2 linked regions of the Daphnia pulex genome follow. The protein of the gene in region 1 interacts with the protein of each later gene in a pairwise test. Links are inferred from orthologs where the notes say so. Each region holds a gene or a part of one and is shown on either strand. Other genes may lie near its edges. The genes, in order: U4/U6 small nuclear ribonucleoprotein Prp3-like and splicing factor U2AF 50 kDa subunit-like.

The links.
Region 2: the proteins of U4/U6 small nuclear ribonucleoprotein Prp3-like (region 1) and splicing factor U2AF 50 kDa subunit-like interact in binary tests that used the Homo sapiens proteins (3 or more experiments, as listed by UniProt). The link is inferred for Daphnia pulex from reciprocal best matches to the Homo sapiens genes PRPF3 and U2AF2.

Annotation. Positions count from the first base shown.
Region 1 is NC_060024.1:10,549,283-10,565,585, reverse strand, and holds U4/U6 small nuclear ribonucleoprotein Prp3-like, read left to right. Parts: upstream 1-4,216; 5' UTR 4,217-4,235; exon of another isoform or gene 4,236-4,281; intron 4,282-4,397; 5' UTR 4,398-4,480; intron 4,481-4,663; 5' UTR 4,664-4,700; coding exon 4,701-6,467; 3' UTR 6,468-6,572; downstream 6,573-16,303. Other genes in the region: serine/arginine-rich splicing factor 1-like, read left to right, coding at 1,713-1,882, 1,939-2,043, 2,171-2,304, 2,366-2,538, 2,597-2,639, 2,701-2,864; zinc transporter ZIP3-like, read right to left, coding at 6,672-6,781, 6,913-7,783, 7,869-8,111; zinc transporter ZIP1-like, read right to left, coding at 13,818-13,975, 14,038-14,788, 14,852-15,079. UniProt on the Homo sapiens protein: Plays a role in pre-mRNA splicing as component of the U4/U6-U5 tri-snRNP complex that is involved in spliceosome assembly, and as component of the precatalytic spliceosome (spliceosome B complex).
Region 2 is NC_060018.1:5,202,020-5,218,322, reverse strand, and holds splicing factor U2AF 50 kDa subunit-like, read left to right. Parts: upstream 1-2,505; 5' UTR 2,506-2,658; coding exon 2,659-2,686; intron 2,687-2,974; coding exon 2,975-3,274; intron 3,275-3,338; coding exon 3,339-3,601; intron 3,602-3,677; coding exon 3,678-3,900; intron 3,901-3,967; coding exon 3,968-4,041; intron 4,042-4,324; coding exon 4,325-4,447; intron 4,448-4,510; coding exon 4,511-4,669; intron 4,670-4,735; coding exon 4,736-5,035; 3' UTR 5,036-5,401; downstream 5,402-16,303. Other genes in the region: RNA-binding protein 28-like, read right to left, coding at 77-190, 248-577, 645-794, 853-1,070, 1,134-1,311, 1,374-1,822, 1,883-2,051, 2,126-2,239; mucin-6-like, read left to right, coding at 12,058-12,071. UniProt on the Homo sapiens protein: Plays a role in pre-mRNA splicing and 3'-end processing. By recruiting PRPF19 and the PRP19C/Prp19 complex/NTC/Nineteen complex to the RNA polymerase II C-terminal domain (CTD), and thereby pre-mRNA, may couple transcription to splicing.

The sequences.
Region 1 (16,303 bases):
CTTTGAGTGCTAAAATGATGAATAAATCAATACTTGTTTTAAAGGACCAGCCTTAAATCTTTTCTTTTTTTCAAAAAACCTAGAAGTTTCTACTGCACAGACCTCGGCAACAGTAAATCAACTATAGAGTCAAGCACACTCAGAACTGACAACGTTAAATTCAAGATCTTTCTGACCGGCGCAGATCTGCAGACGGTTAAGTTCTTCTTCAATGATATTAACAAAGGCCTGTTACCAGCAACTTACATGAACTCTGATGTTCGTAAGTCAAGTTGTGTCCAAAGCGCCACCAGTGGACTGATTCATTCAAACAACATACTAACATACTATCATGATAATATGGTTACAATTTGGTTAGTAAAATACAAGGTTAACAACATTTGATTTCTCATTTATTTTTCATATTGCATTCATGAGGGAAAAACGTTTTTGACTGAATGAATGTTTTCCGTTAGAGGGCAGTAGTAACCGTAGCAAAAAAATGCGGGACTAAAATTGACAGTCAATTGCCTATCGCACAAATACCTTGCTCCAACGTATTAAGGCTTTAAGTATCGGTAGAAGTAAATGATAGAACCAAGTGATTCTAACGATAGTTACAAAAGGCGCGTTTTTTTTAAACAGGGAAATTATTGAAAGTCTATCAACTATAATTAACAATAATAATTATTCACGTTTCTCCTTGCTAAAATTTTTAATTAAAATGAAATGTGTGACGTCAACATTTATAAGCGTTTCCGTTTGCTGCTGTTAGAATACTTTTTTAAATATCACATTTCCGGGCGGAACGGACAAAACAAAACATTGTGAAATATAATAAGGAACACAAAAGAAGAACATAAATACTTTTTTTGTTATTATTATTTCAAATCTAAGTTGTCTTATCCCTTATGGCACGCTCAACTATTTTTCAGACTTACAATTTTCAGAGCTATTGCTTATGGCAAGCCAACTCAAAATTTCACAGGAAAAAAGGAATAAATGCACCACTGAAAAATTAAAGATAGGTTATTGTTGTAACCAATGCCGGTTTATTTATACCAGTTCTTGAAAGGAGATAACCCCCAGAGCAAATGACCTTGTCACAAAGTTGATCGTTACGTCAATGCGGTTGAAAAGAACTCGACCTTGATGTACGATTTTATACCAGGTATAGATTGCACGCGAACGTCGTTACCAAGAGCCCAACAAAAATGTCGCGCAATAGGCTCTGCATGCAAGGGTCATTCAGTTAATTGCACCAGAACAAAGAAGTACTCAAGATAACAAGCATAATTTTGAGATAACTGAGTTAACCATTAATAGCTGTGGTTCGGTCTTCGGTTTGCGCTTACTAGAGTGCCACCGTGTTCACTTTGAAACCTAATTATTCACAAAGCCACTAATATGAACTTATTTCAACTTAATTTTCATCCGCGATTTATTTGCTAGATTTATAGGCAAACAAAAAAAATTAAAATCACAAAAATAGTAACTATAAAAAAAAGACAAAAAATAAAAATAAAAGCGTTATCAACTTGCTGATCTGGCAATGCTCCATGGCTGACGCCATTACCCGTTCAGAAAAATTTACGGCATTTTTCTGTTTGACAAGGGGCGCCTAACACCCAAGACTACTGTGACGTCTTTTTTCGAAAAAGCAAATTCCGTATTCGAATTCGATTTAACATACACATTTGGCAACTAACCGTAAGTGACAAGAAACAGTCAGTATGTCAAGTTCTCGCAACAATGAAGCCAGAATCTACGTCGGTAACTTGCCACCCGACATTCGCACTAAGGACATTGAAGACTTATTCTACAAATTTGGAAAGATTGCATACATTGATTTAAAGAACCGACGAGGACCTCCTTTTGCTTTTGTTGAATTTGAAGATCCCAGGTATGTTGCATGGTTATATTTGTTTCCTTGTTTAGTTAATTACAAGCACTTTATAGGGATGCTGAGGATGCTGTGCATGCTCGTGATGGCTATGACTATGATGGATATCGTTTGAGAGTGGAATTTCCAAGAGGATCACAGAATTCTGGTGGTGGACACAGGTCAGTTTTTCTATCCTCACATACCATATTTGTAATTTAGTTGTGATTGTTTTATTTTGTTGGTAAAAGAAATTATGACAAACAAGTAAAAATCCTAATTTAATTTTTCATAATATTTATTTTTTAGGGGTAGTGGTGGTCGAAGTGGAGGAAGAGGTGGTGATGGAGGTAGAGGAGGGGGTGATGGTGGGGGTAGCAATGGTGGAGGCAGGAGTCGAGGGCCACCAGCAAGAAGAACAAATTACAGAGTCATTGTAACTGGTGAGTTAAACATTTAGTAAAGTTTTAAACCATCATTTAAAGCCACTTTTGATATTCACAGGTCTTCCTCCTACTGGATCATGGCAAGATTTAAAAGATCACATGAGAGAAGCTGGTGATGTGTGTTATGCTGATACCTATAAAGATGGAACTGGAATGGTTGAATTCCTTCGCTACGAGGATATGAAATACGCCATCAAGAAATTAGATGACTCAAGATTCCGTTCACATGAGGTATATTTTCTACAAATCTTGATAAACAAAGTTTTCAAAATTATTCGTACGTTTACAGGGAGAAGTATCATATGTGCGCGTTAAGGAAGATAGCGGAGACGGTAAGTTATATTTCAATTTTTGTTTAAAGTAAATATTGACCTTGAATTTTTTCTTCTATAGGTCGCAGCGGCGGAACTCGTGATCGATCGCGATCTTATTCTCCAGCCGGTGGTGGCGGCAAAACACGTGGAAGTCGCGGCTCCCCCAGCTATTCCCCCGTTCGTCGTGGTGGTTCATATTCCCGTTCGCGCTCACGCTCACCTCGTTCCAGATCACGATCTTAAAAAAGTTATGGAAACGAGAAAAAGGCAAAACTAAACAAAAAGACAAAAGTTGTGCGATGTGGACAACAAAAAGCTTAAGGATTGGAAGGACTGGAGGAGGAAAGGGGTCTTTGGTATTGTCTCCATGGTTCATACTATATTTTCAAAATTCTTAGATGAATAGCAAATCTTTTAAATTGCAAAAACCAATTTTTTTTTTTTTTACAACAAGCTACATCAAAGATTTCAATTTTTTATGAGAAACTCAAAATATGTTTCTTGGGTTATGATTTTGGCATTTGCAATTATTGCTACTAATCATTCAGTTTCTTCTCGACGTACACGTAATCCTTTTTGGTTTCGAATACCCTCAGAGCTCCCCGATTCCAACCAACTAATTTTTTTTTTTCCGTGAGCAACCTCATCCTTTCCTTTTTCCCCTCCCTCTTGTAATACACAAAATAGCTGTGCGTCGAATAAACATGATTCTCATTTTCTTCCCCTTTCTATTTGTAGCGTACACAGCAAGGTTATTGCTCTCTCTGGATGGGATTGTTGTGGGATTTGGATTGCATTGGATTTGGATTTCATTGGAATGGATTTGGATGGATGCATTGTGGATTGATAGGTGACAGGATCTGGAGGATATGCTGGAAACAGCAACCGCTTCTCCTTTGTCTACAACCGTCGTGGTGAATCGCTGTGGACTTGCCTTGTCAGGACCCGTTTATTTTAAAGAGATCTGTTGGACTCCGGCACTTTGGAATTGAGCCCGACCTAAGACAAGAGTTAACTTAGGATTGCTTACCCTTTGATTTTCAGGCACTTTTTTCATCATCATACAGAGAAAGAAGAAACCGACGGATGACGACAAAATGGAAATAATACATGCCTTGCAAATGGTGATATTTCCTTGGAGTACAAAGAAATTCCTTCGATGTTTACCGATACTTCTGTTTTCGGCACATTGGAAACAGTATTACCATTTTAATGACAATTTTTTTATGTATGATACGATTTAATACAACCAGTGAAATGCTTTTGAAAAAAAAATTATGACCAAAATTATTCTGTTCTCTAGACTAAAACAAAAATTTGATGACGTGTTTAAAATACAAAGTTGCTTTTCGTCTTAAACACAGAAAGAACAATTAAAACAATTCGCATTACGATTACTCACCATAGAAACTTAACGTAGAAACTGTTTCAGAGAAAAAAAATAGGTTTTTGTTTAGTTTTGATTTCTTTCTAAATTTATATCTCCTTGTCCTTGGAACCAAAAATGAGAAACAAAAATGCTTTGAACTTGAGCGCTTGCTTCTTCTTTTTCTTTTTACGAAAGTCCCAGTACTTCCTTAAGATTCCTCTAGATGGCGTCTTCGCGTTGCTTGGGTAACCAAAAACGTATAAAAACGTACAAATTTTCCCCCAAAATAGTGTAATTACACATTCACTTTGAGCATACTCAAAAAAACATATAGTTTGAAATTATATATTTGTACAGCGTTTTGAGTTTATCATCTGAATTTCTACGATTTTTCTGTGCATCAATAGGCTCTTATCGGTTGTTAACCGGTCTCTAAACAGAGCAAGTTTAGACCTGCAGTTACGAACTACAGTGGAAGATTGAAGCATTGGTAAGAATAATTTTGTTTTTTCTTCAATAAACCGATGATTTTATTTCACAATACATTCGTCATTTGTCATAGATTAAACATTGTTAGAAGATATTTTCAGTACGTTGAAAATTGTCACTATAATAACATTGTAGCAGAATGTTTCTCTTCAGTAAACAACAACTTTTCTTTCTTTTTTTTTAGGCATCTGTGATATAGGTTTTTTGGGGTATTTCCAATCATGGCTACTACAAGCATAAAAAGACCTAAAGAAGAAGATTCACTCGATGGACCTGGTCGAGAAGCAAAAAAGTTAAAATCACGATTCCAGGATGACAGCAATGGAGATGGAAAGAGTGACCAGGATACTACTGAACAACTCTCTTCTTCTCAGATTAGAGAAATGATGATGAATGCTCAAAAGATGATTGAGGAAAGGAAACGATCTCTCAATCAACCGCCAGCTCTTCTCAAGACTACCCCAGTGCTCTCATCACTTCCAACACCTGTAGCTCCTAAAGCCGTTCCCCCATCTTCAATGGATGAGCGTGCCAGAAAGATTGCTGAACTACAGGCTCAAATTCAGTCAAAACTAGCCACCTCCACTTTAGCCACATTGAACTTGAGTCTTCCTAAAACAGCCAGTGTCCCTGCATCAACAGGGGAAGGGTCTAATAATGAGCCGAAACCTGGCCCACTTATTCTCAACGCTGATGGAAGGACAGTTGATGCGACTGGTAAAGAGATTGCCTTGGCCCAATACACACCAACTCTCAAGGCAAACATTCGTGCCAAAAAACGCGAGGTGCTCAAGACTCACATGGGCAAAGGATCTCAACAACAAAGCGAGGAAGCGGGAAATTTGACGGAAAGTCGCTTCTTCGATCCACGTGTTGCAGCCAAATCCTCCGTGAGAACACGCAGAACCTTCCACTTTCACGAGCAGGGCAAATTTCAGCAAGTGGCATCTCGAATGCGAATGAAGGCTCAGTTAGACAAATTGCAAAGCGAAATCTCTCAAATTGCCCGTAAGACTGGCATCAATTCAGTCACTGCACTTGCTCTAGTTGCCCCACGAGTTGGCGATCGTCAGGAGGAGGAGGACATTGATTTGGAATGGTGGGACTCGGTCATCTTGCAAACACGAAGCTACGAAGGCGAAGACGGACAGCCCAATTTACGCCAGGAGACGATTACCAATTTAATCGAACATCCCATCCAAATGCGTGCTCCCACCGACCCGCTGGCCTTGCCCTATTTGCCCGTCTTTCTCACCGAGAAAGAGCGCAAGAAGTTGCGCCGCACCACTCGACGTGAAAATTGGAAGGAGAAACAAGAAAATATCCGTTTGGGACTGGAACCGCCACCTCAAGCAAAAGTTCGAATTTCTAATTTGATGCGCGTGTTGGGCAACGAAGCCATCCAGGATCCAACCAAAATTGAAGCTCACGTCCGCGAGCAAATGGCCAAACGACTTCAAAATCACCAGGAGGCAAATGCCTCTCGAAAGTTGACGGCTGACCAGCGACGCGAAAAGAAGGAGAAAAAGCTCCAAGAAGACACGACAACGAGCGGTGTGCATGTGGCGATTTACCGGATCAAGGATTTGTCCAATTTATCCAAGAAATTCAAAATCGAGACCAATGCCAAGCAGCTTTACATGACGGGATGCGCAGTCATTTTCAAGGACGTTAACGTCGTTATAGTCGAAGGAGGCCCTAAACAGCAGAAGAAGTACAAACGCTTGATGCTCAATCGCATTCGGTGGGAAGAGGACGCCGTCAAGGTTAGCAAACACGACACTGGTTCATCCTCCCAGCCCGAAACGCGGAATTCCTGCCAGCTCGTTTGGGAAGGCACGACCAAACAACGCAATTTTGGTGACCTCATCTTCAAACTTTGCCCATCGGAGGTTGTGGCTCGAGAACATTTTCGCAAACACGGCGTCGAACACTACTGGGACCTGTCTTATTCCACAGCAGTGCTGGAAGAAACTGAAGAAAAGTGATCGGTTTCATTCTGCCATCAACTTTAACTCTTTATTTTTTTCTTTTCATTTTTGAACCAAACGTTCATCTTTGAATATTACCATCAATAAAAAGATTTGTCTTTATTTCTTTTTTTTTTCTTTTTTTGTGTACAAAAACGGGGAATGTTATACAGGTCTTCGCAGGAACATGACAGAATATATCCTTTGACGCTGGGCAGCTTTTCAGGCACTCGGTGAATAGAAGGTGTAACGTGGTGTCGTGACGGGTTGCAAAACAAACGATAATCCGACAGTTGTTTGTGTTTGGTGATCTGTTGTTGGTTCTCCGTGACCTATGACGCAGCATAAGGAAAAAGGTGGTATTTATTAGACTAGTTCGTGATTGTCATTTCTAACAGATTTTTTAATAGTTTCCTTTTCAGCGAAATTGAATTTAGAATTTTTTTAAAAGGAGGAAACTAACCGCCCAAGGCTTCAAGTGATGACAGGAGGACAAAGCCGACGAAAACGGATAAAAGCTTAATTAATCCATTGCCGGATTTCCTTCGCTCGCGTTCCAACACTTCGAGAAATGTGACGTAAAGGAGAGTTCCGGCTGCGACTCCTTGAAGGATGCCGATGGTTAACGTGTGAGACGGCGTAGGATCTTGAAAATATTCCGTGACGAATATTCCAATGGCCACTCCGATAGGAGTGATAAGACCCAGTGTGACCATGTAGGCAATGTAAATGCCTACACGAATGTGGGAGGCCAACATCTCCATCCCGATACAAAACATGATTGCCAGCTCGTGAACTGTAACGGCTGCAAATAGGAACCAAATGTCCTTCAGAGTTGGCTGCAATCCTATCGCCATTCCTTCGAAAATAGAATGGAACGACAGTGCAAAGACCAACAGGAAGCCGCGTATCGCTGCCGCGACAGATCGTTCTTCCAGGTCCGACAGTATGGGTGGAGGCCCATGGCTATGCCCATGATGGTTGTGTCCATGATGGCTGGAATCGTCGGAATCGTTGTCAGTTCCTTCCTCAGTCACGCGTTTAGTGCCTATGTCCTCTTTAGGCACTGTTATAATCGTCAGCTTGTGGCGATCATCTTCCGAGTCAGATGTGACCATTTTAACAGGACTTTGGCCATTGACCGTAGGAGATCCTGCAGCATTTGTTTTCTTCTTTTTCTTCTTCTTTTCGCCATGACCCATCAACAGTTCTCCGAGTTCTTCAAATAGGTAAACGGCAAAGAAACCCAATACGACGATGCCTTCCGAGAATGGGAATTGTTCCAGAGCCGGATACTGACCCGATTTAATCACCTTGTCGAACGAATCTCGAACCTGAAACATGTTACGTAATATCGATAAGTTATCAGACAATTTTTCAGACATCTTGACACTAAACAATTGTTTTATTTGATATTACCTCTGGAATCATGTGAATGAAGCAGGTGGAAAGTAGCAGTCCGGCGCCAAAGCACAAAAAGACAGACATGAACAAATCCACTCGTTTTCGTCGTTTGTTGATTGTTTGCTTTTCAGCAGCTTTAAGGTCTCCACGTTGGCTCCACTTGTCGAGTTTTTGATACACTTTTAAAGGTAACAATCCCGCTCCGAGTCTCAGCACTGCGAGCAGGATCGCAGCACAAATTTTGCTGACCAACATCATTTCTGTTTCGGTGAATGAGACGGCAGATTTTTATTTAGTGTGACGTCAATGTGAGAAGCTGTCACACAACCAACGTGGCCGAAAGTATTCGGCACACAGCGCCTTGACTGCGTCTCGACAGTCGAGAAAACTTGTTTGATCAACAAATTGTCTTGTTGTGGGTGGGCGTTTCACTGTGCGGATTCTGATTTAAATAAATTAGCTGCTGACGACGAGGAACTGCTGGCGGATTGGCGATGGCAATTATGGAATAAGGTAATGATCCAACGGTTGCTCAACAACAGATTCATGACCTAAAGTATACTACGCCAAGTCACTACTTCTCCACGTGTGCTTGCGATAAAAGATTCGACAAAACACAGACTCAAACAAACAAGCTACCGTCTGCTCCTTGGTCGTAATTTTTTCGGTTAGCGACAGACACCTGTTGATTGCTGCGGAACGCGAGCGAGTCGATCCGCTCGTTCGCTCGGAATGTTTTCGTCTGACTAGCGAGGCCGACAAGACACAACACCCAACTCTCTCTATGCCCCTCCTTCCTTTTTCTTGAGTGTTTTATGTTTCACCCCCAAACGAACCAACAAAAGCGCTTCACCACGATTTTCTCTTTTCCTTGTGTTTCCTCCATTTATTTTGTGTAGGCTTTTTCTGGTCTCCAAGGTTTCTTTAACGACGCTCTCTCTTTCTTTTTCCTTTGAAGGAGAGACTTTGTACCCTTCGGTTATCACAAAAGATGACCAGAGAATTGAGGAAGAGTGGTTAGCCGCTAGATGAAGAAGAGAAAAAGTACCAATGTTGTTTATTTTAACTGAATGCCGCGTGACTCGTCCCTGGTAACCACGGCTCCTCTCGGTTCAATATCTCATCATGATTATGCACACACGTACGCACTTTTCCCAACTGGGAGCAAACTGTGTTGGTAAAGCCAGAAGGTTTCAGCCAGCCGTTTGTTGATGTCTGGTCCCGGATCTGGATGGTGTTGCAATATCCCTGCGCTAAACTGCCAACAGTCAGCAAAATTTGATTTATTAGGAAACGCGTGGCTTTGACATTTTCACATTCAAATGCGTTTGCCTGTTGAAAAGCGTGTATTTATATAGGAAACGTTCTACTCACGTCCTTTTGTTACTTATTGAAATAATCGTACGTCCGTGTTTTTTTTATATTATACAACTTCCGAGCGGATGTGAACGGCGCTTCGACCCATTTTACTCTTTGTAGGAAACAGCTAGTAACACGCCCATGATTCGTGATTTGTTTTTTCAACTGCAAACAACAGCCAACGTACCCTCCGCTTTCCTTATACTATGCCCGGCAGCAAACTAACTTATACAGTAAACAAATATCGAGATTACCTACATCTTTATCTAACATTTTTAGTTTAGTGAACCTTAACCTCAACTATTTATCGCTCATAGGGGAAACACATGAGAGATAACACCAATTTTCAGTTAAAAAATTTCTTAGAAGTTATTTCTCAGCAACTCGGTTGAACATCACTATATGGTCCATTCATTTGAAAGACGCGAGATTATAACCAACCCGCGAAATTTAAATAAAAAATCTATCAGGGAAAAACCCAGAATTTCGCTCAAGGATAGAGAAGGAAGAATATAAAGATAAAATCTATGATTGCATTATCTTTATAATACCTCATGTTTTCTTTCCTGCATGTTCGAAAATGTGTCGCGACCTTATGCTGGTATCCCCACAAGCACTTTTCAATATAATAAGCTTACACAAACACAATGAGCAAGTAGTTGTGTATAAGGACGACTTTTGTAAGCAATGTCGGACAGTTTCAAATTGTTTGCAGATCCTTGTTTTAGGGGAAACACACTCCATGGAATTCCTACGGGCTTATTTCAAATTTTCGTCGGCCAAATGATTGGCAGACTTGGCGTACGTGATGTCTGATAAAAGTCTACCTGGCGCATTCATCATGGGATTAAAAGGATTTTTCGGTTGTACACTTGTACTCTTATGCTAACGGCAATTCAATCTTGCGCAATCTCACATAGGTGGCGCATAACTGTACTTCACTGTTTGTCGCATATTTAAAAATCTCGAAATGTTTCGAAACTTTTACTTTCCGTTAGTAATCAAATAAAATTGTACCTTATTTTCACCTGCCCGATAAAGTGTTCCCCGAGAGAAACTAAGCGATGTCACGAAGCATAGAAAATATCGTCTCACTTTCTAAATTCATTGATAATAAAATTAAGCAGAGAAATGAGCCATGACACAGCAAGAAAAAGAGAGATTTTGGGAGCAACAACCTCTTCAACATTATAGCCACGACGGTGCAAAATTTACCTAGTCGTTGCCAAATATTGTTTCGTCGGGGAAAACAACCATATGGGGCATGGGGTACAATTGATTGCTAGTCCTTTTAGGGGCTAGGGGATTCCCTTTTCCAACTTATGCGCTGCACCTACATGGAAAAATTCTGCATTAACAAGCAAGCAGGATGCATATTGTTGTATGGGGAAAGTCTTACTGAAAACTTCTAACGCGGTAAGCGCAAGAAATCCCGCTAAAATGGCAAACAGCTTCTCTAGACCGTTTCCTGGTTTATGGCGTTCACGTTCCAGGATTTCGAAGAACGTGACGTAGAGGAGAGTTCCAGCCGCGACACCTTGCAGAATGGCGATTACTAGCAAATGAGTTGCCGATGGATCGTGGACGTACTCTGTGACGAGGATCCCGACCCCAACACCCACCGACGTGATTAATCCCAACTCTACCATGTAAATGACGTAGAGGAGAACGCGGAGTTTGGACGCCAGCATCTCCATCCCGATGCAGAACATGATGGCAAGTTCGTGAACGATGACGGCGGTGAAAAGAAACCAGACGTCGCTCTGGGTTGGTTGTAAACCGATGGCCATTCCTTCAAAAATCGAATGAAATGACAGGGCGGCCACTAGGAGGAATCCGCGGATCGCCGCAGTGACGGATTTCTGCTCTTCGGCGGATAATGCCAAGCCATGAGCGTGTTCTTCGGGAGATTGGTTTCCGTGGCTGTGGTAATTTGGAAGTCCGTTATTACCGTCCTCTGTCCTCAGTAATGGTTGTGTTTTGTTCGGTTCTGATGTGTTGCAAGGAGTTGTCCTCAAATTCAGCGGGTAGTTTTCGACATCATTTTGCTTCATCAATCGTTCGGCCAGCACTTCGAGAAAATAAACGATGAAAAATCCTGTGCAGACAGCGATTTCGGCAATGGGGTACCGTTCCAATGCGGACCATTCACCAACCTTGGACGCTTCTAAAAATGACGTCCTCACCTAATCCAGGAAATCTATTGTTTCATTATATTAATGGTTTGAATTCAAGGTCTGAAATACCTCAGGGAGCATATGGATGAAACAAGTCGATAAGAGAAGTCCGGCACCGAAGCAAAGGAACATTGATAAAATCAACTCAACTCGACCTCGTCGTCGGATTCCACTTTGTCCTTCGCTGAGACATTTCTCTAATTTTCCGTGAACTTTAAGAGGTAGCAATCCGGCGAAAAGTCTTATCACAGCCAGTAACACGGCTGAGCATATTTTATCAACAAGTAGCATTATTACTCACCGCAACACCGTCCAAACTATAAAGTCTATCTATTTATCAAATAGAATTCAAGGAGAAAATAACTTGCTTTTATTGGGATCGTCTACTGGATGAGTAGTATACTTTCCCGTAACTAATCTGACGCCAAAGAGTAAACAGTAAATTTTTACCTTAAAAATTCGTTGAAGCGTCGCAAGCAAAATCATCATGACGACGTTTTCAAATGGGTATTTTCCAGTTCGACGTTTGGGTACCAGCTTAGCCGCTAACTAGAATTCACTTTTGTTTCAGTCTCAATTCATACCCGCCACAGTATATACTTAAAAGTGCTGACTGAAAAGCTGCAATCAAAGATGAAGAAATCGTTTCTATTTGTTGTTTTCTCCGTGGCCTTAGTTGTCGCATGGGTTGAAGCAGGTAATTTTGCAAGTGTTATTCAAAACCTAGTTATAAACAAATTTAAACTTCTCTTTTCCGCATTTCAGATACGGAGAAATCCAATCAGACTCATCCGCTAATTATGGGACCGCATTGCCATATTCAACCGGGCGTGGACCAATCCAATTGTTACTGGAAAGGTTCATCGCCATTCTGTGTAAGCGGTGATGCATGTCCGTACGGATTTTCTTTGATATGCAAACACGCCTGTGGAGACGGGAAATGTTGTTGGACGGGCAACAAGTCCTTGTGCTGCCCAATACCAGGGGAATCCATCTAAAAATAGTCCATTCAAGGTTTTAACCGTTATTCAAAGTATTCTTTTATTACAAACGACGGACACCTTTTGAAATACAACTGATATCAATTATCAAATCACTCTTATATGTGTTTGCTACACTTCGCAACTGCGTAGTACGCAAAAGTTTTCTTAAAAATACAGGACGTGATCGCGATAAACTTTCATGGTCTTCTGTCGTATTACGACTATGCGTTTTGTTTTTAATTAACATTTACAAATATAAACCAGGATAGAGATTGTCTTAATCCCACAAAACTGGATTTAATCTAGACGAGGCTTATTAGCAACGCGGAGGTTATGACCGGTATATTAACACAAGATCAATTTTCCTCAATACCAGTACATAACCAGTTTTAATTTAATCACTATATTAATAAGCCAGGTGCCATCTCATCATGTGACGAAAATTATTGTGTCATCTTTTGAAATGTAGGTTATATACGCTTAGAGATCAAATAAGAAACGTTCAGTCTAAATTCATACCCTGAAGGTGTTTGTTTGGCCTTTTCCGATCGAGTTGAAAATGCAAAAATCTGTTTTGTTTGTTTTCTCTGTTCTCTTAGTTCTATCATGGGTTCAAGCAGGTATTTTAGCACATTATTTATTGCATTGAGTTGAAGGAATTCAAAAATTGAATTCGCGATTTTATTCAGATCTAGCGAAATCTGACGCACAATTTAAGGGACTGCATTGTCATATAAAAGACGACGTGGACAGATCGAATTGCTACTGGAAAGGAACATCGCCAATTTGTTCGACAAGCAACGAATGTCCAACCGGATTTAATTTGGTATGCAAAGACGGTTGTGGAGACGGAAAATGTTGCGTGACCGGCGTAAAAGCCTTGTGTTGTCCTATTCCTAAAGCAGCAACACCATAGAAACCCGTTCACAACTGATACAAATAATTGAATGACAACAATGAGTGTAGATCATATTGAATGCGTAACTGTTTGTGCGTATAATTGTATACCCTTTTTCTGAATACATCCCATTTTGAATTAGAAATATTTTGAAGTTGTGTTATCAATTATTCTCTTTGGCGCTTCTCTTTTTATCAGAAAACAATGAACTGTACTCTATATTATTATGCTGCTAAACACAAAGTTTATATTTGGGCACCAATAAAATTCAATTGAAACTTTACAGACATTACGCTTCGATGAAAATTGATAACTGAAAGTCACCAATCACGTATTTCACAGAATTGGAAGTCCGATTCTTTCGGCGCATCTTATTTCGCTCTATACGAGATCAGAAAAATTTGCAATTGCGGATTGAATTCACATCGAAGGACAATTTTGATTATGTAGGATTAAACATTTCTAATTGAAAGTAATAAGGATTGTTTGATAATAAGCAAACCATTTTCCGTTCTCGACGGTTACCGTGCATTTGGAAGAAGGTTGACTAAGCTAGCGTAACATTAAGAAAAGCTAAAGTGGCGTTAAGAATATCTGGTAGATCCAACGTTGTTTCTTCAAACGGTTCGACAGACGACTGATTCATTGCAACGTAATCAACTGGAGGATATGGCGTGGTGCTCGTAGTAGTCTCATGTTGTCCAGCTACATTTACAAAATTCAAGTTGATGAAAGTTTGTGCTGTTAAGGTAATGATTAAAACTTACTAAACGTTTCCATGGTAGTAAGTAGGAAAAATCCGATGGCGATGGCTGCTAACTTAACAAGTCCGTTTCCTGGTTTATGGCGTTCACGTTCCAGCACTTCAAGGAACGTTACGTAGAGAAGAGTTCCAGTAGCAATACCTTGCAGAATGGCGATTACTAGCAAATGGGTAGCCGAAGGATCGTGGACGTACTCTGTGACGAGAATCCCGACGCCAACACCCACCGAAGTGATTAATCCCAACTCTACCATGTAAATGACGTAGAGGAGAACGCGGAGTTTAGACGCCAGCATCTCCATCCCGATGCAGAACATGATGGCAAGTTCGTGAACGATGACGGCAGTGAAAAGAAACCAGACGTCGCTCTGGGTTGGTTGTAAACCGATGGCCATTCCTTCAAAAATCGAATGAAATGACAGGGCGGCTACTAGCAGGAATCCGCGGATCGCCGCAGTGACGGATTTCTGCTCTTCGGCGGATAATGCCGGTCCATGTGAATGAGCATGGTCTCCGTGACTGTGATGAATGCTACTTCTTCTACCGCCATCCAGGCCGAGTAACGACTGAGATTTGGCTGGGACCATTTCATGGCCCGTTTCTTCAGGTGGATCATGTTTGATCAGTTTTTCCCCTAGCTCTTCTAGTAGATAAACCGCAAAGAAACCTATGCAGATGACAATTTCGGCAAAAGGAAATTGTTCCAATATTGGCCAATTACCAACCTTTGATGCCTGAACGAACGACACCCTTACCTAAATCAGGAATTAATGTGTCATTTGTTTTCTGCTTTTGCTGAAATTGAAGAACTAAAATACCTCTGGGACCATGTGAACGAAGCAGGTGGATAAGAGCAGTCCAGCACCAAAGCAAAGGAACATGGACAGAAACATTTCTACGCGATCCCTTCGTCGACTTCCATTTTGCCCTTCACCGCGGCGACTCCACTTCTCCAGTTTTCGGTGGACTTTTAGTGGTAGCAGTCCAGCAAAAAGTCTGAATACAGCCAGAAGGACGGCTGAGCATATTTTACTAACCAGCAGCATTTTCACCTGAGACAACTAAAGAAATAAAACAGAGAAATTTAGAAGCGTTCAATCAAGAGGTTATTGTAAACGTTTTTCTTGCTAGACGGACATAGATGTCCTAGATGTCCAATGTTTTCCGACGTTATTATGTCGATTTATCCCCTTCTGGCAGCAATTCGTATCTCTCTGAGGGCTTCCAGAAATGTCTATCTGTTTCTGCTTTAGCTGTTAAGAATAATTGCTAGCTAGAATTCCCCTCTAACCTATTTCACGACTTGCTCTCAAAAGAACTGCATTCTTAACGAAGCTAACACAATATAGATAACTTTAGGGAAGGCCAACTATGGGCTACGTGACTACCGACTAGTATAGGATCCGTGAGCACGAGTGAAATATCGTTTTCATAATTGATCACGTATATCTCACCTTTTCTCTGTTGATTGCCTTTTAAGTGGCGCAAGTTCTACGCTTTAAGCAGAAAAGTTTCAAAACAAATTAATTGCTTTCGACTTTTGTATTAAACCTTCTTTCGGAAGACGACAACGCTAACCTTGTTACCTTGCGTACCTCCAAACTGCAGTGAAGGAGTTGGTAGAACTTCCGTGCGACTATAGTCTGAAAAATTAAGGAAGCAATAAGTAATGCATCAACATAAATTCGAAGGAAACAATCGAAAGTTCAAAATCAATTCAGTACGTGTTGCCATGTGATGCACAATCTCCTCGCTCGTCCAATTGCAAGTAGTTATGAGAAAGAGTCCGTTTTCCTTTAACAGACTGCATGTAGTTTTGAGGTAGCGCTCACGGATCGCTGAGCCGAAGTCTTCCATCAGTGAAATGGCATCAAACGTCCCTTTATCCAGCAGTAAATCATATTTCATGTGGTCCTGAGGATCAGCCAAATCATCGCTAAGCACATCCATGGTCTGAATCGTGAATGTGGGATTTTAAAATTATTCTTCAAAAAAATCAAGTATATTAATCATAAAACTATTTAACAACCTTATAATAAATTTTTGCTTGACGACTGTCTGCAATGGCTCTGGCTAAGACGACAGCCGATTCCGAGTAATCGACCCCAACGAGATTATGGAATCCTTTTTGAGCCTGCACATTGCACAATAGTTACATTTTATTGCTGAGACAACTTCCACAAGCAGTTTTTTTTTAAAATATTGCTAGGCTAAGACAACAAGTAAAGTAGTTACCAATTGAATAAGAAGTACACCATTACCACAGCCAA
Region 2 (16,303 bases), on another chromosome or scaffold:
ACCAGTCTACACTTAATAATAACCCACAAGGAGAAAAGACGAAATTTTCAAGTCATCAATTTATTCAACATAAAACTTACGAATCAAACCACTTCCCTTTCTTCCCAGATGTAGCTTTAGCCATTTTAGGAGCCCCAGTTGTTACACTACCAGCAACTTTCTTTTTTGTCGATTTTGTCTTGGCAACTCCCTGGCAAGAACAATGCAAAGTTAATTTTTTATTTATGACTGTATTCCCTAAATTTACCTCTTTCTTCTTAGCGGACGCTTTGCGATTCTCGGGATTTTTAAACATTTTTCTTCGAATTTTCGGTTTCTTTGATGGAACAACTTCAGCATCGGGGGGACTAGGTCGTTTACGATGTCGAATTTTCGGTCCTCTATGCGATGGTAGTCCTTTAATTTTAGGGTCAGCTTTTGCTCCACTGAATTCTTGAACGGGTAGTTCAGCAGTCGCATTGGTAGATGCGATTTTTTCATCTTTCCCTTTTTTTACATTTTCAAGACTTTTCTGAACACGGTTCAGTTTGGCTTTTACGGCAGCACGATTCTCCACACTGAATTCCACGATAGGTCGCTAAAAAACAAAAAAATAAAATAAAAATAAACACAGAAAAGAGGAGTCTCAAGTAAATTATGTTTACCCTATCTTTTGAAAACAAAGTGGGATTGTTGTTGATATTACGCAATGCCAGTAATGCGTCTTCGTGTTTGGTAAACTTTACAAATCCATGCCCTTTGGATGGATGTACGTTTCCTTCACCAACAGCTTTTAAGTCGCGCATAATTTTAGCCTAAAATAATCTGAAGTTAATAAGATTCTTGTTATACAAAACCAAAAATTTACTGCACCTCTACGATTTTGGCATCTGGGGATGAATGATTCTTGAAAAGCTTAGACAACTTTTGATCCGTAAGTGAGGGTGGAAGATTATGGACAACCAATCGTTCCCGTGAAATAAACATGTGGAGATTTCGAAGCATTTGCTTTTTCCATAGTTCGTTTTGTTGCCTTTTCGCCATGTCAGTTGGAGAAACTCCTTGAGCGGCTAAGGTACCAGGTCTAATAACTAAAGAAAATTGTAAGATAAGCAAGAAAAAACAATCTTTAATATCTACATTCAGAATCTTACATCCTTCGCGAGCAAGAAATAGATTTCTCTTATCCTTATGTTCCTTTTTTTCAGCTTCTTGCTTTTTGTGATCGAGGTCTTCCCGAGTAACTGCAAGAGCCACGTCTAAAATGCGTCCATCTAACTGTAAATATGGATTTCGAGACTCTTCTAAACACTTTTGAGCCGATTCCGAATCCTAAAAATGGTTAATATGAAAAGTTATTAGTATGTATTTATTTTTGCAATAATGCAACTTACTCTAAATTTTACGAATCCAGTGCCCTTGGGTCTCTCCATAATTTTATCCATACACAACAATGCATAGTGAACACTGCCAAATTTTTCCATGAAATTTTTCAACGAGTCTTTTGTGGTTGAAAAGTCCAAATTTCTGATAAAAAGAGTCTTTCCTTCTGCTACATCACTCTTCTTTTCTATTTCAGAATTATCACCCTTCCAAGCTTCTTCTTTTTTTGGACTTTCTTCTTCACCGGAACCATTCTCAACTTCAGAATCAGAAGCTTCTCCATCTTGTTCTTCTTCATCATTATCTTCTTCTTCATCATTACTTTCTTCATCATCAGATTCTTCATCTTTTCTGTCATTTTTCTTCTCTGGCGGCTCAATGTTTGGAACTTCGTCAGTTTTATTATTTAAAGTGGCATACTGTTGTTTTGGTATGGCCCAATCAATAGCTATTTGCCTTCCTACAAAAAAAAAACAATTGATAAGCTATTATCAAATTTAAAATGTTAAAATTTTCTTACCAAGAAATGGTTTTGCATTGCATTCTTTGATTGCTGTAGCCGCACATGGAACTGTTTTAAATTGAACAAAACCACAGCCAACTAAAGTGCCACCAGGTTTCTTTAATAATTTCACATCCTCAATTTCTCCATATTTCTCAAACCAGTTTTTAACAGCTTCTTCTGTTGCCTGTTAATAAATTAAATCAAGTACTAACTTACTAACATACTAAAAGTAGCATAAATTAAAGTTTCTTGGCTTACTTTGAAAGATAAATTGCGAATAATTATTCTTCCTCTTTTATTGGGTGGTCTCTTCTTTGATGTGTTTGCTTTAGTAACAATAGAAGCTTCTTTTTTAACTGAAGAGTGATTCATCTTTTAAATCTATCCAAACACGTGCTTGTCTGTATAACTGATGTAGCTAGTCAAGCAGACGATTATATGTGTCAAAATGTAGCATAGACTGTTGTCAATTGGCAAAATGACAACTAATGAGGATTAACATGAATACAACAATTACTCAGAAAATAAATTTTATGTGGCTATTATTTTATGAAATATTTAATCTTACCTTTCAGTATATTAATCAAAACCAAGTTTGAAATTGTAAACATTAAATCGACGTTGCCGGTACAAGGAGTCAATCGAACCTCGTCTCCGACGCCATTCGCCCATTCCCAGCCTTTAATCAAACCGGCTTACAGTCTTAGTGAAAATTTGGACAATAATTAACTGTTTTCCTCTGCTGTGTTTCTTCTTATTGTCGTACAAAAGCTAACAATCACACGTTAATCATGGGAGAAGATAAAGATGATCGTAAAGGTATGTTTTAACTTCTCTAAACTACTTCTGTCAATATCAACTATAATGCTTTTGTAATGTTCTTAAGAGTCTGTGATGCTTAAGAAAGAAATGTTTAACACACATTACTTACAAGTAATGGGTGTTTAATGATCTGGTTGTATTTTACACATAATTTCATAACTTTTAATGGTTTATAATGTTGGCTCGTGGTTTTGCTTTTGTATGGAAATATTAGTCATAGTAGTTAGAAGGTAGTCAAGCAAGTAAACTTACTTGTTTGATTTATTAACATTTGAAATACTTTAGTTGACAGGGAGAGAGATCGTGACCGTTCCAGAGATAAGGAAAAGGACAAGGAAAGAGACAAGGATAGGGAAAGAGATAGAGACAGGGATCGTAGACGGTCCAGGTCTCGTGACAGAAAGAGAAGGTCTAAATCTAAGGAAAAGGAGAAGGAGAAGAAGCGTAGCAAGTCCCGTGAACGTGAACGCAAAAGGAGTCGTTCTCCTGTTAAAAAGCAACGCCGAAGAAAGCCGTCTATTTACTGGGATATTCCTCCTATTGGTTTCGAACACATCACACCCATGCAATACAAAGCAATGCAAGGTATAAATCCTTATTCAAGTTTCAATTTTAATGTGCTAATTATTATTTTCTTGAATCTACGTAGCTGCCGGACAAATTCCAGCTAACATAATGACGGAAGTAGCCCCACAAGTCCAAGTACCAGTAGTGGGTAACACAATCACTCGTCAAGCCAGGAGACTCTATGTTGGGAATATTCCTTTTGGAGTTTCTGATGTACGCGCAGCGGAGGAGGAAATGATGGATTTCTTCAATCAACAGATGCATTTGTCTGGTCTGTCTCAAGCTCCAGGTCATCCCATTTTAGCTTGTCAAATTAATCTGGATAAGAATTTTGCATTCTTGGAGGTTTGTTGGATTGTTTTCACGTGAAACCTAGTATTTTAGTGGAATATTTAAATAATTTTGCTCTTTTACTTTTCAGTTTCGGTCAATTGATGAAACTTCCCAGGCCATGGCTTTTGACGGTATTAACTTTAAAGGTCAAACTCTAAAAATCCGCAGACCCCATGATTATCATCCAACACCTGGTGGTGGCGGCGGAGGAGGAGGAGGTGGTGGTCCCGAAACAACGCCCGGCATGAGTTCTGGTGGTATAACTGAAAAGAGGGCTGGAGGTGGAGGTGGTGGAGGAGGAGGAGGCACAAGTAAGGACGACTTAAAGTGATTCTTTTATGGCAAATTTCTTTAATGTATTCATTGTTTTTTGCTCAGTGAGCACGATCGTCCCGGATACACCCCACAAATTGTTCATCGGTGGACTTCCAAATTACTTAAACGAAGAACAAGTAAGTTACCTGTTTCGTCGATGTGACTGTAAAATGTGTTTTCGATTGGGAGAAGAAAAAAGAGTGAGAGAAATGGGATTTGTGAGCGTCTAGTTGAAGCAAAATCGATTCTGATGAATGTCTTCTTCTTTCGTTCTCCCTAAACAGTGGTCACGTGATCCTTAAAACTTCCTACCCATTCCAACCACACAACCTCGATCCATCTCCCCACCGTCGATCCCTAGATTGTTATTTTTGAAGGTCGACTCTAGGCACGCACGCAAATTGTCTCATTCGAATTTAGGTAAAGGAATTGCTGATGTCTTTTGGACAACTTCGAGCCTTTAACTTAGTTAAAGATACGGCTACTGGCTTATCCAAGGGATACGCTTTCTGCGAGTATGCCGACGTCACCGTCACCGATCAAGTAAAGTAGACCATGATAATATTCCTTGAAAAACCATTACATCTAATTTTATTTTTCTTTCAGGCTATTTCCGGATTGAACGGTATGCAGTTGGGAGACAAAAAGATCATCATCCAGCGAGCCAGTGTTGGAGCCAAAAACGCCGCTGCTTACGCCCAGATGCCAGTCCAGATTCAAGTACCAGGATTCAATCTTGCTGCCGGTCCTGGCCAACCGACAGAGGTACAAAAATCAACCTTGTCTAATGCGACAATTTTTAATTTCATTTTGGTCTTTTCTTTTGCGTAGGTTCTATGTCTGCTGAACATGGTGACACCCGAGGAATTGAGGGACGACGAGGAATATGAGGAAATTGTGGACGATATTCGTGAGGAATGCAATCGTCATGGAGCCGTACGTTCAGTCGAAATTCCCAGGCCGTTGGAGGGTGTCGATGATGTACCGGGAGTTGGCAAGGTCTTCGTCGAGTTTATTTCGGTGAGCGACTGCGTTAAAGCCCAGCAGGCGCTGACAGGTCGCAAGTTCGCCAATCGTATCGTCGTTACGTCATTTTACGAACCGGAACGCTATCACCGACGGGACTTCTAAGCCATGACGGCTTCTGTCATCAGACAAAAAGTAATCCGCAAGATATGCCCCTTCTTTTTTTTTTTTTTTTTACTTTGATGAAACAAATAACGTCATGACGAACCGACGCTTGATGAGAATAAACGGCCTGATGCGTACGGGATTTCCCTTGATGAATTTGATTTTCTTTTTCTTCAGTTTTTTTTTGTCATTTCTAAATGGGTTTTTCGATATTTTGCATCAAGTTTGTGTTGTCCAACCTCTTTGTTTGGCGTGTCGGTGAAAAAACAAAACAAACAATAACATGTGTAGTAATGTATAACCAAACCATATTTCCCAATACACAAATGTGCGGTGAACATCAAACTGCCACATTATTCCATTTTCGAAAGCATCCAATTATTTCAACTTGAACTAGAAATAAGTCCATATTAAAACAGAGGTTCAATAAACTACGATAGAAGTTGTTTTGGATTTTATTCTTCCCTGTGGCCGTGTGACAGGTAGAATTATTGCAATCGCCCAACGAATGGAAATTGAAATTGCGTTGTGGGTCGACTAGAAATAGTTGTTGCAAAAGTTTACCTGGCGGGTTCTTTCCCCATTTGTATTAATAAGCGTTGATTTGTCCTAACGTGTTTTGTTTCATCAGACAAAACTAAAAAAGGAATCATAATTATTTTTCGCCGATAAAGTTTTCTTTTTTGAGTGGTAAAAATTAAAAATGAACGAATCGAACCGTGAGAGCGTGATTTCATTGTACACAAAAGAAAAAAAATACATACATGATTGTACCGATTATAGTAACTGACCCGAACAAATGTCTCTCCCGCATCGTCAATTGGCGATAACTCCGCAGAGATATTGCACTTTACAAAGCTTTCAGATCGAAGCGGAATTTTCGGCCTTTTTTGTTTTTAGTTCCCATTTTGCTGATAGCAAAATGAAATTACTCGAATCATAGCACCTTTAATATGTAATAGCCCTTTCTTATAAAAATGAACAATAGACTCGTCATGAATTTAAACTTCCTGACGGGAGGGCAAATAGCTAATACAGCAAATGCGAGCAAATAGCTATTGAAAATTGCAGAGAAAATGGTCACGTTCTCGCTGGACATATTAATTGTAAGTACTTTGAAATATTATTAACTTCCTTTTTTGAACTTGCCACACCATCACGACATCATATGTCATCAGCGTTAACCACCAAAAAGAAGCCAGTTAAATAACGAAAGTATTTCTAGGCGTGCCCCTCCTTTTTTCCCTTCCTTTTGCGGTGAGCAATCGTGCTCGGTTAAAACTCGACGCATTTAAACAATTCTCATCGAAACGCGAAAGGAAAAGGAGTTTGTCTAGCCGACAGTCGAGTTCGAAATAAACAAAATCCACTAATAACCCGACCCATCGCACAATAATAAAAGGCAGAAATAAAAGAGCTTGAATGAGTGTGTGTGTGTGTGTGCAAGTCTTTTGTGAAAAGTTCACCACAATAAGCCTGTCATAAAAAATCAACACATCGAAATGCCAGCGTGAATTGACAGAAATCGTGTCCATTCATTTTTCGCCCTTTATAACGTCAAACGTAAGTGCGACCACGCTGGATTTGGGTTGACCGAAAATCGACAGTTATTTCGAGAAGGTGAAATGGAGAAAGGAGAAATAAATACTTATAACAACACAGAGAAATTAACAGTAACAAGTGGTTGCAAGGTATTATTCCGTAAGAAGTAGATAAATAGAAACGACCTTGTCGTCATCATCATCGCGGACGGTCGTCTGTTTTGTATGGCCGCGCTTGCGGTACGCGTGCAATCGCCCCGAGTAGTTTGCGTTTCTTTTCATAGACATTTTTCATGTAACGTGAACTGCGCAGTGCCCACAAAAAAATTGAAACTTTTGGTTTGAAAAAACCAACAGAAGAAAACCAAGTTGATGGAACCCTCCCCTTAAAAAAAAGCGAGTTTTTAATGTTAACGTCCCAAAGAAATCCGACGATTCGACATGAACTTCATCAGCACCTTTTCGGGATGGTTCCACTCGCCGACAAACATTCTTCCGCAATTTTTTTGTCTACAATCAGCAAAAACAAATTGCAATCGAACGATTTTAGAATTTGAAACAAATTCAAAATCGGCCCGGAACTCTTTTATCTTCCCTGTTTTTTGGCCCACCTAGAGAACGAATCAAGAATGTATTGCGTTCATTCCACATACTGGCGGTCACACGAATGGAATTCTTGAAATTGGTTACAGTGTCGAGTTTTTTCTTATAACCCAGTATGTTTCAGGCTGTACGTCCAAATCCGGACCATCTGCGTGACAGTCACCCTCATGTGTCGGTCGGTACCAAACTATGGTAGATCGCGTTTCATGTGTAAAAGCAACGCATTTCAACCAACATCCTCAAAGGCACAAAACAAAATAGAATATGCACAAGGACTTTTTAGTTGGATGAACTTGAAAAATACAAGTTCGAAAAAAAGTTATCGCACCTTTTTCCCTGAGGTGAAATACAAGACGAAGTTCACTGTACCGCACTGTACTTCGGTTATACAATTTTCGTTTTTTTTTTCATGGATAAAGTTTATACCGCAGCAGTTAATATATTTAAAAATATCTTTGACGATGACGGCTGAGACTAAAGCGGCTGCCTTGATTTATCATCGCAGTTTATTTGAGTGGCAGTTTACTTACACATAATAAAGCCGACTTTCTCTTTTTTAAAGTGAGATTCTTCAAAAAACAAATGTTGACATACGGCAAAAGACAACAACAAAAAACAGCGGTCGACTGTTCAGCTGTTCTCGTAAGACAAAGGGAAAATATGGTCGGCCTCGTTTCAGGCCTTTAATCCACACTCGTTCAACAGCACACATATATTCTTATATATTGATGATGATACTGTACTGTATATATACGGCCCCCATCATCACTGATCTCCGTTATCATCCGTGTATTGTCCATCTACGAGAACTCATCTTTTTATGTTCATTCTCTCCGTTACGATACGAGAATGATGCTATACAAGTTGTTCGACTTACTTACTTTCCTTGACAAAAGGAACAGCAAACGGCCGACAATAATAATTTCGTGAAGAAGCAAAAAGGAACCGAAGAAGCGGGAATTTTAAAAAAGTCAATGACGAAGAAAGAAGAAACAGCAAAGCAACAATATAAAGAAAGTAAAAAAAAACAAAAGAAAACAGATAAGAAATTATTATTGATTCCGTTAGCTACTGTTCTCTTGTCTCGTCTCATTTCCGGCTGGCCGAATGACTCATTTTAAAAAACGAAATTCTTGTAGGTCCATTTAAATGCTTATAACATAGCACCACTTCCTACACAGTCGATTTCGCGAGTACCGGACTGTCGAACCCGTTTTTCTTCTTGTGCCTCGATCGTTCGTTTTTTTTATTTTAAAAAGAAAAAAGAAAAATAATAAAATAAAATTTAAGAGAAACACACAAGAGAGTTGCAGAGCGACATTATAAAAGACTGTTATGTTTCTTTTTGTTTTGTTTTTTTCCCTTTCTGTACGCATTGCACGTATTGCCCGGCAGCAAGTGCATAGGCGCTAACCGGATAACAGTACATGTGAATGATACACGCGCCCCGGAAGGCTATGAACGTGGCCGGAAGAAGGAGGTTGTGCTATGCCAGCAGCAGTCAGAGCAATGTCACGTCCTCATGTGACGGTATGCCCGCTCGTTAGTTATTACACAAAATCCGGCTACTTTTTTTGTTCGTTCCTCCCGTTGGAAAACTCACACAGAAAAAGAAGAAGAATATAGTACTTTATGATGAGAAATGTCCGTACTAGATTTAAAGCATCTGACAAGTCTGTATTAAAAAATCACGGCGGATCTGACATTTCTAGTTTCAACAAGGGATACCAAAGACGTTTGATTTTTTCTGATTTGCGATGGGCACCAGTAGAAACAAGTCTCATAAAAGTAACGGTAACGATGTAAAGTCGAATGCAATTTGTTCCACGCAACTTAAAATTTTCGTCGCATAGTCTTCTCTCACAGGATAAAACCAAAATTGGAGACCACAAAGAAAAATGTCTTCAGAGCAGGAAAACAAGCAGACAGAATATGTAGACAATCAGAACAATTCAAATTTGTCTTTTTCTTTCAATATTTCAATCGGATTTATTCAATGCGGACACATACGGGCGCAACCGTCTGTCAATGTCCACACGACCTGACGACAAAAGCTCACGAGCCATCCTTGAAGAGTTGAGTAACCGACATGCCGGTCGTTTGAACGCCAAGAAATAAGTCGATGGCTATCACGATCAAGTTTTCGTTCCTCCCTCGGGAACATTTCAGGACTCGAGTAATGTGATAAAAAGAATCTACTAAGATTTTTGAAATGTGACGCACTGTTTCTGATCGAGACTGCCAGTGGGTTGGTGGGTCCAAACGACGGCCGATTTCTTCCCTTCTTAACGAGGTAATGTACCGTGAACGTAATTCGGTCACGCCGTCACTCAAGTACGTATAGCAGCTCTCTTTTGGTTTAATTCAATCATCACGTAATCAACGGATCAAGCCATAAGGGCGCCAATTGCGGGCGCCTTCAAATGGAACAGTGCCGCGAAACAGAACGAACAAGTATGCCTAATTTGCATCCGTGCGATGCTTAAGTACACCTTTCGTGAAAAACCTGCCGTCGGCTTTCTCAATTGCGTGTATTATGCACGGAGTCTGCAGTAGGGTCCCATAATGAAACAATCTCATTGTTCCCGTGTCATATAATATAACGTTAACAAATAATTTGAGGCGAACCATATGGAATGAAATGTCATTTAGCTGCAACGCAGCCGACTAAATAACGACTTTTGAATGGTCACTTAAAGTCAAGAGCGGTGGGCGGCATGCCGACCTCGTTTTCTCTTGGCAATTCCGACAATTTCAAGAGCGGTATAATATTATACGATTGTTTCATGACGATTACATTGCCCAGTAGAAGGCGTCGATGCCCCCTTTGACAGTGTTCTACAAGGGAGCTGTTAACAAGTATTGCAAGAAAGTCGACAGCATCTTCATTCCCGGAACTGGATCCCAAAAAAAGATCGGCCCACTTTGATGACAATATTTGAAATGCTGACAACGCAAACTTGGACTATTGTTACGGTACACCCGCCCTGTTACATAAAAGATACAAGCCCACACAGTCACTAGAATCCGACGAAAGTCAAAACTAAGAAAAAAAGAAAGCGTCAACCATTTGAGGAACAGATGGAAAATATTTGTTCCTTAAAGAAACTGAAAAATAAAAGAGAGAGAGAGAGAAAAAAAAACAATGGTTTCTAATTCTATCGTATTTGGGATGAAACAAAATTTTTTATCATCACACTGCGTGATGCCCGTCTTATATACTATACGTTTTTTCGCAGTCATATCGAGAAGAAAGCGCCAATTCAAACATTTCCATTTCAACAATGGGGGGATATTTGAAAAGAAAAGACATTCGCTCATTAACGCCGGTTGAAAGCAACATCAATGTTCTGCCATCCCTAAGAAATTACTCGGATAACAGCGAAAAAAAAAAAAAAAAAACGTACAGATGCGGATGTCGACCTCTACCTTCATCACGATCTCTAATGAATTTAAACGATAGTAAATTCTCTATTAACTCGGCAATTCTTTCGTATTTCAGCGTGCCACCCCCTGCCGTGATTTGTTTGATCGATGAATTGGAGTGAAACAAAAGGGTTGGCAAAAAAATAAGGGAAATAAAAAAAATCAACAACCAACGAAACAAGAATCGTGTCCGACTTGACTTGTTTCTTGCTCGTAATCAACAATCTCATCCGCTCGACCAGCGGAATCAAAATGAATCAGAAATGAATCGTCATTGAGGTCAGCAGCGAATCGTCGGGAGATAATCAAAATAAGAGCATGAACTGCGCAACTGCTATTGTCCAACGGGAGCGTGCTAATGAATTGGAGCGTGCTTCTCTGAACGACGACGACACGTAGGCTACTTTTTAATTGATGGCGGATCGATGAACGCAGTTTCTCAATGACACAAATGGCTGCTCCAATTTTCCCTTTTTTCTTTTAACGACCATCTTATTGCTTGATTTTCCTGTGCCTATCGATACTCCGTGAAAAATTTCTAGATGAATTTCACCGTGATAGTTAGAGAGAGAGCTTAACGCGTCCAATGGTCGAATTTCTCTAGATATATATCAACAAGTCTCTGTCCGAAACGACACGGAGAATTTGTCGATTGTCGAGTCTATTAAATTGTCTTACATCTTCTCTAAAAGTGTATGATATACATCAACTCTATACATGTTCCGGTTCACTTTTGGCGTCCTGTTAAAGGACTTTCTCCCGGCATGGCCGCAACATTAATAGCAACAGATGCTCCGCGATTTAAAAAAAAAAAAAAAAAGATTTAAACGAACCAACAAAAGAATAAATTAGCTTAGGAAAAAAACTTTGTGGCCTATCAAGCAGTGCTGATTCCAACCCCCCCGAAAAGAAAAAAAAAGAAAAAGAAAACAAAGAGGATTCGCCATCGTCATTCCCACCGGCAGAAGACGATGCAAGGTGTGTGTGTGTAAGCGGGCCTGCAGGTGCTTGTGTGTGTGTATCAAGTTCCTGCGGTGTGGGGCCCAACCGTGAGCCGGGGCCCTTTATTAAAGAGTCTTTGCCAGTAGCCGAGCTGCATCAGTCGCTTTGCAACGCTCGTCGATGACGCCCGCCTTCTGTTGTTGATCTTCTTGTATCGAGTAGAGAGAATTTGTTACGCAACAACAAGCCCCAGTCCAAGACAGGTTGGAGAAAAACCCAGAACTACCCCAAATTTTTGATTGAAACACAACTCAGCAGCGGTCTTATCTTCAATCGCGGACCTCAGGCACTGGATGTGTCGCAGCTTGTCGATCAAGAAATAAGCCAAAAGAGGAACAACATTTTTCTCAATCTCGACAGGAACTGATCCTACTCCGAGCCGTGATCCATCAGTTCAAGACTTGGCCCATCATTCAACAAGAGAAAAGGAAAATTCAAGAGGAGCCAAACATGTCGTTGACGAGGTAAGATTTTTTTTTAAATATTTGTACATCTTTTCCTGGTTGCTTTGGGCAATCAAATTTATTGAAATGGGAAGTGGTGCTTTCTTTTTTAAAAAAAATGTTGGGCTTTTTCGCTCTCACTGAGAGATGCCTCGAGCAGGAGCGACAGTGGACAGGACGCATTCTTCAAAAGAATTGTACCGTACTTCTGTTACGATACTGCGTGTAAAAGAAATAAATATCAGAGAGGGGGGAAAACAAGGAAGACTACATAGCTGGACTTATTGTGCTCGCTTGCCCGCCCGCTTGACCGGCAATAAGGTGCAATTGCAAAGAAGACGGAGCATCAACCAAGACTCCCCATGAGCTTCAAAGTCCGTCTAACGGCCTTGCGGTCTGAATAGGAGGACCCGAAAGGGAGTAAAAATCTGTGAGCGATGCCCACACATAACGACTAGACACGAGTGGCTTCGGCGTCAACAGCACAACAGGGATGGACGGGCCTACACTGATCCGTCCTTGTGCATTCAGTGGGATCAGCCATCCGCAACGGGCCTGTTGTACGGCATTGTGTTTTCTCTATCTCTTTTTAGATATTTTTACTTTTCTCCCACCCATGGTGATGCAGTTGCCAACAAAGTCCCGAAAGCCTCTAGTAAGTCCAGCATCTGCTCAAAACAGTTGAAAATTCATTCCTTGATAAAAGCGGTCAAGAAAAATAATATGTGAAAGCATTCGACAATTTATGGCTCAGCTTCTCGATGATTTCGTCGTGGGCTCGTCAAAACAATCGCGATAATAGTTGGCAAATTGTGTCTAGAGGTCATTAGCACCGGGGCACACGCAAAAGGGCCATTTTCTTACATGCCTTTTGGCAGAAAACGAATGGGACAGAGAAAAGGATATGGAGATGACATTAATGAATGTATCGCGCTCTCGATACTTGCGCGAGAAAAACAGTAGGAGACTCTCTTGCGCACTCCGAGAATAAGAGAAGAGCGTGGTCCATTTCCTGTCTTTTACAGCCCTTAAATTGCTCAAGCTAGTACCTCTGCTTATATACACCTTTACGGACGAGCTATATACAACTTGGCTCCCGCGTCTTGCACCATTCCCGTCTCCTTCGCAACTTTTTTCTTGTAGCAATTCTTGTTTTATCTTTTTCTTGCTCTCTTACAATTGATGACATCAACTCGTAAAAATGGTTGGTTTTTTCTTCTTCTTCGTCTTGGTATTTTTCTTTGTCCTCATTCGTTAAGATTATGTCGCCATCGCTCTCGAGTCTCGACTTATTTTTTTTTTTTGCCTCACTACTCGAGATTTTGTTGATTATTCTTTTAAAAACTAGTCGAGTTTACAAATCTACCTCTACGCATAAAATCAGTTGAGTAATCACAAACCAGGATTTCCAGTAAAACAGTTTAATTTTTTTTATTTGACATCCTGGTTTCTTTGAAAAAAAAAACGTGTGTCTTTGTTCATTCCCGGGCAGTTATTAATGTAAGTAATCATCTATTTTGTCTAGTCTGAAATGATGACCCCTTTCATTTAAACAGACGGAAACGATGCTGACAAGCTGTTGATTAATCTGTTATCTTTTAATTGCAAACTAGAGCAAGTGAATTACTTGAGCGTACATGATGAATTGTTAGGGAAGAAGAGGCTTACACAGCTTCAAGCCAATCATGGTAGTAATTGTCTCATTAAAAACCGATAAGACCTTCAGCGGTCCATCTTACTCACATAGTCGAGAATTAAATCTCACGACAGACCGCTGTTCCCTCCAATCATCTGCGGGCCACAATAATGTTCTCTTGTCGTATCAAAAATATAAGGAGGAACGACGGTTCTTATTCTTTCAGACATGACAGATATACAGAAAATAATATCAGATCGAGAGAAGCAAAAAGGTAATTCCGTGGTGCACAGTTACACGGCACAAGCCAAACTGAATTTTTTTCCATCTCATCATTTTGAGAAAAACCACTCCCAAAAGGGGGAAGCTTAATTATACTGTATAAGAAGCAATGTAATCTCGGGGGGTGGGAAAAAAAAGCTGCAAAATTCTGAAGACTTGTCTACGATATAGCTTCCACGATTAGATCCGTCGAATAAACCGCCGTGCGTGTAATCATCATCGTCGTACATGTATATACTCCGGGCGGTATCTTTTTTTTTTCTCGAATGGCTCCCAATTGATGCGATTTAGACACAGTACATATACAAAGAAAGAAACTGAATGAAACGGAAGGGCAAAAAACCTGCAGAGTTTGAAAGTGAGAAGTGCGATGCTAAAGAAAAACAGTTGCATGTTCATATTTTTCTCTATCGAGTCTCTGGCAATAAAACAACTGGTTACTTTTCCTTTTTCTTTTTCTGACTCGAAAAACTTGCTCTCTCACGGCGGCTAGAGAAAAAAAAAGGTCGGCCGAGAAGGTCACGCTGCGTACATTCGAGAATTTCGACTCACGCGACTTGTTGACTATTCCGCCTCGCCGCCTTATATTTTCCCGAACGAGTGAAAGTGAAGACTATATAACGCACACAGTAAAAAAAAAAGAAAAAGAAAAGAAGATTATCGAATTTCTCAGAGCGGTTCCAAGTGCGTGTAACATAGACACACACACACACACGTAATCGAACCAACTTGCTACTTTTCGTACGTCTATGCTACATTCAGTAGGGAAAATTTGGGGGTTTCGCTATCACGAACATGTCGGGAGTTGCCGGGGTGAAGACATTTTGCCGTTTTCTATTTCCCGATATTGAACTTGCGGTTGAAATAGATAATTTCAGGTATTTTTTTTTTTTTAGATAACAATGGCACCGAGACACGGAAAAAGTGAAGCGTCTGGCACTTGTCAGCAATTGTTCTGCTCCATAAGGGCAGACCATCAATGCAATCATGCATTGACGGTTCGTTTTCTTTTCTTTTTCTTTACTTTTGAAATAAGAGAAACAAAAGAAGGAGCAAGGCTACGTCCTTGGCGTGCTACCTGTGTGCCCAATGTGATAAAAGTAACGAAGGGGTGAACGCCCCACAGCACCGCGTCCTCTTATAACTCAAAACCATCCAATATGTACTGAGACTGTTGATGCCGTTTTCCCAAGAATTAACAGGAATCCCGGCATGTCAGTTTCTTCATACTTTTCCACTGTTGAGAATAACATTCACGACGTTCATATTATATTCAATCTTTTTTCTTACAAGTTATTAACGGGCAGGAAAACAGAGGAAAACGGCCCAAAAGTTCAGTTCACTGTCTTATTCACCTATTTCTTTTTCTTTTATTGGAGTTTTATTTTATAGTGTTGTTGATAATATTATTTATGTCATTTTTGTTGTTGTGTGGTGGGAGGGAGTTCTTCCCAATCATAAAAAGAAAGAAATGAGATAAAAACATAGGTGAATAAAGAAGCGGGGAAGAACATATAGAAAGAATATATTATAACCGGGTCCCTTGAGTTTTATTTAACTATGCCGCAGCTGGGACGATAAGAGAATAAAAGAACACGACAATTCGTTCCGAGAATTGGGGGAAATATTTTGATCGAGACGTTTCTACGATGACGCACACAAGGACGGTCAGATTTAGTTGTAATATCAATCGGTCGGAACGCATCTCATCGCGGTTGACATACAGTGGGAACGCTTCAGGGGACAAGTACTATTTGTTTTTCTACTACGTCACCATTCCAATTGCTAGACCTTCTTATTTCTCTGATCAATGCACGAATCAAAATGGAACAGACTGAGAAAAAAAAGAAACTCAAATTGATCAGGAAACGAAAAACGCAAATGGCAAAACGTTGTACCAATCTCGTTTGCCCCGTTAAACGTTAGATAAAATTCCGCATTTTCTCGTTTGCTACATATTAACTCCTTCTGTTTTTAAAAAAATTTGTTTCAATAACCAAATTTGTCGTGACTTGGTAACCGCAAGATTTCCGATCATCCGTGACGACAGCCTTCACCTGAATGTCACGCTTCGGTTATCTCTTGACCATATCTTTTCCTTATTGAATTTTTTTTGCAATATAAAAACATGAATAAGAAAAATCCCTCTTCAGACATGAGAAAAGCAGCTTAGATCGTGTTGCCTACGATTGAAATGTCTCGTCTGATTACATCTCGACTCAGCCCACTGACAAGTCAAATCGATCCCCTCCAAGAAAAAGTCTATAATTTCGATCTCCACTTTTATCAAGTAGAATCAACAAAATCGCTGCGACAAAGTAAATGGATATCTCGA